2 linked regions of the Saccharomyces cerevisiae S288C genome follow. The protein of the gene in region 1 interacts with the protein of each later gene in a biochemical or structural test. Each region holds a gene or a part of one and is shown on either strand. Other genes may lie near its edges. The genes, in order: PKH2 and LSP1.

What was found.
Region 2: the proteins of PKH2 (region 1) and LSP1 form a complex in vitro, tested with the Saccharomyces cerevisiae proteins (2 studies listed by BioGRID, with this or other methods).

The regions. Positions count from the first base shown.
Region 1 is NC_001147.6:127,572-133,301, reverse strand, and holds PKH2 (serine/threonine protein kinase PKH2), read right to left. Parts: upstream 4,066-5,730; coding exon 820-4,065; downstream 1-819. Other genes in the region: SDD3 (Sdd3p), read left to right, coding at 1-577; IZH4 (Izh4p), read left to right, coding at 5,382-5,730. UniProt on the Saccharomyces cerevisiae protein: Serine/threonine-protein kinase which is part sphingolipid-mediated signaling pathway that is required for the internalization step of endocytosis by regulating eisosome assembly and organization, and modulating the organization of the plasma membrane.
Region 2 is NC_001148.4:549,852-553,561, forward strand, and holds LSP1 (lipid-binding protein LSP1), read right to left. Parts: upstream 1,807-3,710; coding exon 781-1,806; downstream 1-780. Other genes in the region: AEP3 (Aep3p), read left to right, coding at 1-455; ULA1 (Ula1p), read left to right, coding at 2,169-3,557. UniProt on the Saccharomyces cerevisiae protein: Together with PIL1, main component of eisosomes, structures at the cell periphery underneath the plasma membrane that mark the site of endocytosis.

The sequences.
Region 1 (5,730 bases):
TGTCTCATTGGCTTCCGAATATCTAGAATGTGTTGAAGGTCCATTTTGGAAGGGAATCCGTGGTGCCGGATTGGCCTATGGTGCCAGCATGTTAAAATTATGTGAGATAAATTCTTGGGGATTCAATATTTACCGCGGCGCTGATATTATTAAATGTTATGAAGTTGGAAAACAGATTGTTCAAGATTATGCATCAGGTGCCTTGGAATTTGATGAGCAGTTAATCCAAGGTGCCATCAGTAGTATTATTAACAGGCTGGCTACTATCGAATGCGGATACTTTGAAACAGCCCTGTCCAAATATGTTGATGAATTCTGTTTGCAAAGGGGGAACAACTTCAATGAATTGTATTTGGAAAGGTTGCAGAATGTTACCAAAACAGATCTGAAAAATGCCATGCAGAAATATTTTGTCAACATGTTTGATTCCAATAAAAGCGTTGCCTTTGTGAGCTGTCATCCAGCTAAATTGGAATCAGTTCAAGAATTCTTTGAAACTCAAGGTTTCACTGTCGAAATAGAAGAGCTAGAAGATGACGATGACGAAATTGATAGTGAAGAAGACGAAAATGCGTGAGTACATGACCTCCATTTCAGCTTCACTTTCAACACAGAAACAGTGCGTATTATCTGCATTCAATAAATAGCAAAAGGAGCATTGTCTCATTCTTTTCGAATTCTGGGATTCTGCCTTACGGCGCTCTTTCATTTGATTGATCGAGAATTATTATTATATTTATATGAGTACTTGAAATTCCTCATATATTTATTTTTAGAGTATTTAAGTAGCTTGATGAAAACATTAGATAAAATTACTAATTACGACCTCTTCGATTTTGCAGATGAGTTTTTGAAATTTGTTCCTGTGTTTAGACCTAATCCCACGGTAACTTGTCTTTTTGGCAATCCGTTAACTAATTTACTGGTTAACGGTACTGGAGCAGCGTGTTTTTTTGAATTTTGTTCCTTGGCATTGATAAAGGTTTCAAAAATTCTGCTTGATCTGTTGCTCTTAGCGCTATTAATCGATTCAGAAAACGAATTGTGCTTTGAAATTGATGGAGATTGGCTATGCGTCCTGGGTTTTGGCGAAGGAGACTTGGAAGTTGGAAGATCTTTAGGTATGGCTCTTCCGGATGATGATGTTCTTCTTTCAATTACCTTTTGGTTTCTTTGCAACAGTTCTTTCTCTATTTTATTTGTATTCGAATTAAGAATTTTTTTGAGAACAGTAAACAATTTGCTCGTGGTTTTTTTATCAGTGCTCAAAAGAAATGACTTGTAAGGTGTCTGAATCACAACTATATGATTAGTTCCCATTTCCAAGGGAATGATTAGTTCTTTTATTTTGGTACCCTGTTGACGCAAATTTATGTCATATTCTAGTTCATACTTTAAATTTGTAACTGGATTTGGCTGCCTCCTCTTGGCAAATACTAGAAACCTTCCAAATGATGTCATTACAATGGTTCGTTTATAGTACTTGGTTTTTTCATCAGAGGAAGAGAGCGTTTCAGCTGCTGAGGTAGGGTGAAATAATTTTTTAATCTTGCCAGAAAAAACAGAGCTTCCTTTATTGTTAGATTCGGATTTATCATCGTCTTTCATTGGTGAGCTGTTTTGATTGCATTTGTACCCTTCTCCGCTTCTGTTAGTAAGCAACTCCGATAAGTCACCTCCTTCAATTCGATAATCATCTTCCAAGAGCTGCAAATCGATAATATTTTTCGAATAGTACGTATCTTCTGTTTTGGAATAAGCAGTCATAGTTGGATCATTTCGAAAACCTGTAACCTCTCCCCCACTCCTAGCTACTTGGGATAAAAAAGTATGTCTAGGCTTACCAAACAGTTGAGGATCTAACAATGAACCATTTAGTTTAAGCATTTTCTTCTCTAAGATATCGTAATTTGTGGTAACAAAATCCAGTTTTTCCGTCCTTAGTACATGTTCGTTGATGTTTTTCAGGTAAAAGGACCATTGAATATCTTGCTTGTTCATCAAGGGAGAATCTGTGCTATTTTTAACATTTTGCTTACTAATACAAGGCTTAGGTGCGGCAATTGCGGTATCAGAATAATCCTGCTGTTTTGTCGTATAGGGAGGTGTCATTTGATATGTATCATATGGTGTCATAGGGGGCGACATTGGAGGTGTGTATGGAGGCATTGGGACTTTTGACGATAAAACTGATGCTGACAAAGGTGGAGATTTGGCAAATGGTTTACTTTCTGTAGAAGAAGTACGCTTATAAGTTCCTGGTCTTGATGTTGTCGCAGGAGAGCTTGACCTGCTACTTTTCGAACTAGAAGTTGGATAGCTTTGCATGGTTTTCTTGGTTAAAGCAGCAGAAGCTGCTAGGGCAGCAGAAGCTGCACCACTTGGTGTTCTCTTGCCTGGTTGATTTTTCCTATTGTTTATACCCTTTCTTGCATTTTCAAGTATCTGCGCTGTTCTTTCATCAGTGGGTCTCTTCTTTATTGATATTTCACTTTCAGTAGAAGCGTGAGTATTGTTATTGTATAGGGTTGAATGAGTAGTTTCCTCAACAGAGGGACTTGAAGCTGACCTTTGAGTCACTAGATGCGATTTGCCAAGTGTGTTGACTGATTTCTTCACCAGTTTTCTATCGCTTCCGCTTGGCATTGCCTGCATGGATTTGGCGTTGATTTTATATGGTTTGATCTCTGGAGGCGTTTTTGACCAAACAGAGCCGTCTTTAAAATTCAAATCTTTGAAAAAATGATGTTCCTTAATTTGGCTTATCGTCAATCTTCGGTCTAAGTTTTTTACTAAGATTTTCTTAACCAAATCTCTGATAATAAGTGGGAAACCTGGTGTAAAGGCGTACTGAACTTTCATTACCTTTTGGAAAGTCAAGTATTCATTGGTAGCTTTGAATGGTGGTTTTCCGGCAATCATCTGGAAAAGTATACATCCGAAGGCCCAAATATCGCAACGATAGTCTGTAAAACTGTCATTTAAAAGTTCTGGAGATACGTATTCTGCAGTTCCAACGAAAGATTTCGACCTTGTTGATAAATCGTATTCTGGTTTCGAAACGCTATTATTTGTAGGATTCAGTAACTTCGCAGTACCAAAATCAGTCAGTTTGATCTTCATTTCTCCATCTAAAAGAATATTTTCTGGTTTTATATCTCTATGAATAATACCGTTGGAATGTAAGTAGTCTATGGCATCTATTATTTGCGCAGCATAATATCGTGCGCAGGTTTCGTCTAATGAACCGTATTTTTTCATTAAAGAAAGAAAGTCCCCATTGGGGGCATACTCTAAGAGAAAGTATAGGCTTGATTCATCCTGAAAAGTGGAAAATAATCGCACAACACTAGGAGAATTATTGAGCTTTTGAAGGGCGGTTTTTTCTATGCTGACGTATTTGACTTTCTTCTGGCGTATTAAATATTCTTTGTTTAGTACTTTTGCGGCGTACCTCTTTTTGGTATCAATCGACGTCGCTAACATTACAGTAGAATACGCGCCATCACCTATTACACTACCAAATTTAAAGTCCTTGATTCCCTTTTTGATTATATTTTTTTGGGCTTTGGATGACTCTTTAGCTATTGGTTTTTGAGATGAAGAGTCATGTTCAATCTTTACTTTGTTTCGATTTTTTTCCATGTGGGGACTTCCCGCTATATTATCCAAAGTTTTTTGGTCATTAATATCGTTATTATCGTAATCGTTGTCATATCTGCCGTCGTTGGTACTAGCGACAGTTTTTCCGTTTTCATCATTAATCATTACTTCTTTAATAGTGTCATCATCAAGATTTTTTCTCTGCTGATTATGGTACATTTCAATGAAATTATCCGTATTCGTCAAGGCCTTTTGAATCATAGGCTTAGCGGTTCTTTTTTCCAAAAGTAAATCGCCAACGTTTCTATTCGAAGTGCTTCTTTGTGGAGTGGCTTTTGCGTCATAATGGGGGTCTAAATGCGAGAATTTCTCCTTTTTCGTTAGAAGATTAATGTTTAGCTTCTGCTCATCACTTGGCAATAACGGCCTAGGGCTCATGGAATTATCCTTATCAAAATACATTTGGTTGAAATGAAAAAAAAAAAAGGAGAGATTTAATTTCTTTTGCTTTTTAAAAACTAGTTAGTGGCTTCTCGGTTCATCAAGATGTTACTTTTGTTTTCCCTTTTCGAACTATTTTATGTAGTTTCTTGTTCTTAAATACCCCTAAGTACCTTTGTACACCAATATCAGACTTCAAAGGCGGTAACTGGAGTAAAAATATTAACAGTTTCGTTGTCAAAACTATTCTCTGCCTCAGAAATGTGAATATATAATTTCTGTGTTGCGGAAGCTTTGAAGATGAATGCCAATAGCGCCTTAAAGAAAACTAAAAGGATCGGGAAATGTTCGCTTCCATTTGGGGTTATTATTGCTAAACGTCAAAAGTTATTCTAGTTTATTTCGTCGAATATGATTTCTTTTTGCACGTGACTTTTCTCCGATTATCCTGGGCGGCTATTTCTCCGCTGTTTAACTAGGGACCAATTATTCCATCAACAATGTGTCGAGTCGATCGTTAACCATCTGTCATGTTTCATACCTTATTCTAGGCATATATGGGCCCACCATATATTTTTGAGCCTTAGACTTTTCGTATTTGGGGTACATCAGCTTCCATTGCTACAGAACTATTTGAGTCTCAACCATTAGCTATAGAGCTAGTCGGAAATGGCGGGACCGAAACAACTTTTGATAGTACAGGGAACTCCAGCGTATGTTTCTCTAGGTGACAAGAAATAAAACTGGAGACAGGCGATTGACAGAAGGATCAGAAGCAATAGTCTTACTACTTATAGACAGAGAAAAATGATTATTCCATATGTTACCCTGATATTCTACGAGAAAATGGGCCTTCGTCAATAGCTATTTAATTTAAGCATATGTACGGGCAGTACCAGCTGTTATAGTTTACATAAAATAGACATATTCACGTGTATGCAAGGGCACATAAAAGCAAAGGCTGACATTGAAACATAGCAAGCCAAGAGATAGAAAAGGAGGATACGGGGTGAACAGCCGGTCTATTCTTATATATACTTCAAAGAAGCGATAGTTCTGTCCGTATAAAAACTCGGACAATTCGGACAGCACTCCGCGAGAAAAGGGCTCGTTGGGCAGCTCAACATTATTCAACGCAAGCCTGTTGAGCTCAATTGGTTTTAATTGTAAATACTCAATGGTGTCAACAGCTAAATGATTTACACTCATATATATGGTCCGGATATATGGACGCAGAAGTAAAATAAAAATGAAAAAAAGTAGAAAAGGAAATTAATTTCTTAAAGTTCTTGTCAGCGCATATAATATTGGTATAAAGGTACATATATATTGACAGTATGGTTTCATTGACTACAATAGAGCAAAGCCCAGTCAAATGCGAGACAACCACTGAGAAAGAGAGCAATGATACTAGGGGGACAGATTCGAACGAGAATGCAGAGACAAAAGAAACAAAGAAGGGTTTTCCATTCCATGACTTGGCAAAATTGCAGAAACAGTACAAAAATAAATCCAGTAGGAACGAGTCACTAGTAGCACTAATATATCTCTTGGGTTCGATGCTGTCATTTTGTCTCCTAATATTTTTCACGGACTTTTATTTGATACCTTTGTTCCCCACCACCACTACAATGACAGACTACATTGTATTCAATTTTTATTTATTGAACGTTTTTGTATTTTGTA
Region 2 (3,710 bases), on another chromosome or scaffold:
TCCTACAGTATATCAAAGACTTAAAGGTTAGTGAAGGATTTGGATTGCGGACAAGTTATTGGAGAACCAAAGCAGACTCAATTTTCAAATTTGGTAGTCCTAATACGCTATCAGAAAAGTCAATTGAAAAAGCAAGAAAATTGTTGGGCAACCTGATTGCTTCCGAGGGTGAGTTCTCTTGGAAAATTTGGAAAGAAAGTGATTCTTCACAAAAAAAAATACTACGTTTTTTGGGTTGTATCCCCACTACTTTACGCTGCACCAATACAGCACAAGATCATCAGAAGCCCACAAACCTACCCTCAAACATTTCCCAGAAAAAAAGAGAATATCGAAATCGGGTTAAAGCAATAGCCACAAAGGCTGCTTTGGAAAAAAGAATGGCGTATATCAAAGACAATGATGTAGCTTTCAAAAAAGAGCTAGTAAAGAGGAGAATAGTTGGGGAGGTTTGATGAGGGAGGCATAAGTGCCCTGGCATTTGGACAGGAATTTTATTAATATAGGCATTTTTATTGTACATATATACTTCATAGATCATATTCATTTAATTAGACTTCGAAAAGTTGAATCTCTTACGGCAAAGGAGAACAAGAGAAAGGTTAATTATTAGGTCTTATAAAATTTGTTCAATTAATTATAAAGGTGATTACAATACCGGAATATTGGCCGAACAATACTTGAACCAAATTCAGATGAAATTAATAATAGGTAGACACGAGCTGGTGAAAAACAAGCACAATATAGAAAGGTTCGAATATATTAATTATTAGAAAAAACTCAGATGTTTTCAGAACCGGAGGTATGACCGTTTTGACTAACATGATGATCGGCCTCATGGGCTTCATCATCTACAGGAACTTCAGTAGTCCATTCAACTTCCTCTTCTTCGACTACTTGACCGGGGATATCTCCATTTTGGATTTCAGGTTCTTCTTCTTCTTCACCATCTTCGTCTTCATAGACGTCATCAACGGTCTGATGAAATGAAAGAGTTGGTTTGACTGCAGCCATGTCTAGGGTCCAAGATTCCAAGGCCGATTCAGCATCCATAATAATTTGGCGAGAAGCTTCATAGCCATCGTACGCTGGTCTAGCTTCACCTGGAGTGACAGGAGAGTCATCTAGCAGCTCCAATAAGGCCTTTCCGTATCCAGCAATCAGGGCAAATTTTTCAGAAAGCTCTCTTAATGAATCAAACATATAACTATAAGCAGCCTTTAATTTTTCACGTGTGATATTCGATAATTGAGCCTCCGCAACCAAAGATTCAGCTTCGGCACGAACTAGTTCTTGCTCTAAAACTGGGATTTTTGTTGATTGAGGATCTTTATATTTCAAATGGGCAATTTCATCTGTGATCTTTTCCTTACGATCTCTCGAAGGTTGAACAGAGGCTTCAATGTTCCTAATTGATTTTAATGTGACTCTGTATTGATCATATTTATCGATGAACTGGTCCTGTAGTTCACCCAACTCATATATTAAGACGCCTAATTTGTCGGTTACGTCGGAAACATCATCATCATTGTCAGCACCCCATAGAGACAGTTGCTTTGCAGCTTCACGGCGTTCGCTGGCAACAACTTCCATAGCTCTAAGGACACCTTTTTCAGTCTTAACCAATTGAGATAATTTACGAGCCAACTCTGGCCCAAAGTTACCAGCCGCATTTTTTCTAAAACTAGACGCAATAGAGGCCTTTCCGAAGAACTTGGACTTCGTTGAGGATGGTGGTGGTGGAGGAGCTTGTAGCTCAGCAGCCGTTGGAGCTCTTTGATTTCTTAAAGAGTAAGTTCTGTGCATTCTTGTGTTGGAGCTTTGAAAGTTTAATCTTTCGTATACCAAATAAAGAGAATTTACGGTCAAGCATTGGAATTGAGGAAAGAGGTTAACTGATTTTTTTCTTTTCTATCTCACCTGTTTATATATTGCGATTTAGCCGTTGCATCTTCCCGGTTTTTCCGTCTTTTTTTTAAAGGGCCCCTTTTTATCCCCTCTAACGCCTTTCGCAATCCCCTTTTCACTCGGCTGCAACGAGCGGGGTTGTAAGAGCTAAGCTTTCTAGCCTAGCAATGAAATAGAAGGACAAGTCAGACGATTGACGTCAAAAAAATGAGTCGCCTCTCTTTCTTTCTTAGGCCAACTAGACAGCCGTAGATGAAAATATGGAAAGATATGATAGACAGCTGAGACTATGGGGAGCATTGGGCCAAGATAGTTTGAACCGGTCCCGTGTGTGCGTGGTAGGACCTGCTACACCTTTGCTGCAGGAAGTTTTTAAGAATCTGGTGCTTGCCGGAATATCATCTCTTACTTGGCTCAAAGTAGAGTGTGCAGTTCAATCGGGTTCTCTGTTTTTAGCAGAGCTTAAAAAAGATCTTGAGCCATTGGCTTCTAAACAGCTAGAATATGAGGAAAATGACCTTAGAAAGACGTTACAGCAACCTCAGTATGATTGGACCCGCTTCTCGGTGGTGATCTTGACTTGTATTGGTGAGCAAACTGCGATGCTCGATTTAAATGAGATTAGGCGGCAGAGAGGAACAAAGTTTCCGCCTGTTCTAAACACTTTCGTCTCTGGATTTTATGGATATATATATCTGGTACTCTCAGAAACACATTTTGTTTTGCAAGCACACCCAGATAGTAAGAAGTATGATTTACGGTTACAGAACCCTTGGCCTGAACTAATAAATTACGTAGATACATTTGACCTAAGTAAAATGGATACAGCCACGTTTTCTGGTATTCCATATACTGTTTTGCTCATGAAGTGTATTGCAAAACTTGAAAGGGATGGTAATAATGGGAGGATAACGATTGATCAGATGAAGAAAGTTTTAGACCAAATTTGCCTTCCTTTAGGGAATGATGTTATCTACGAACCCAATTATGTGGAAGCTAAACGCTATGCTTACTTGGCCTGCTCTCAAAATGATTGTTGTAAAGAACTGGAAGATCTGCTCCGAAATTTGGAAATATCAGATTATGGGAACGATTGGCATGATACTTATAACTACGAGATTCTCACACTATTATTGACTTTGAAAAATATTGCTAAAGAGAATGGGGAGCTCAGCTTTCAACCTTTAACGGGCACTCTCCCAGATATGGAGTCAACAACGGAAAATTATATCAGACTCAAGAAACTGTATGAAGTAAAAGCAAAGCTTGACAAGTCTCGTGTGGAGGAAAGTTTGGCTCGCAGTAAAAAAATAGTTTCACAGGATGTCTTGGAGACATTTTGTTCTCATTACGGGGAGGTCAGGAAAATATTGCCGCCAAAAAGTGACTTGTTAGGTATTTTTAGCACCTCGAATGCCCTTTTAGATGCATTAGTTATGGTCCAATTCTGGGAGCAACCGGCAGTAACTGCAGAGGATAAAGATGAGTTTATTGGTTTACGAGTCGACGATAACTATTCCGTAATGGCCTTTTTTGGAGGTGCAGTGGTTCAAGAGGCTATAAAGCTTATCACACACCATTACGTTCCTATTGATAACCTATTTTTATATAATGGCATTAATAATTCATCCGCAACATATAAAATATAAAATTTTTTCGTCAGCTCTCCGAGTTCATAGAATGCTTATTTTATTGTACTTCCCTGGTTTGCGTTGATGCAAATAAAGACTAAATGTAAACTTTTATGATGCATATGATATCGAATGTTTACAACAACGAGAGATCACCGGTAAGAACTGTGC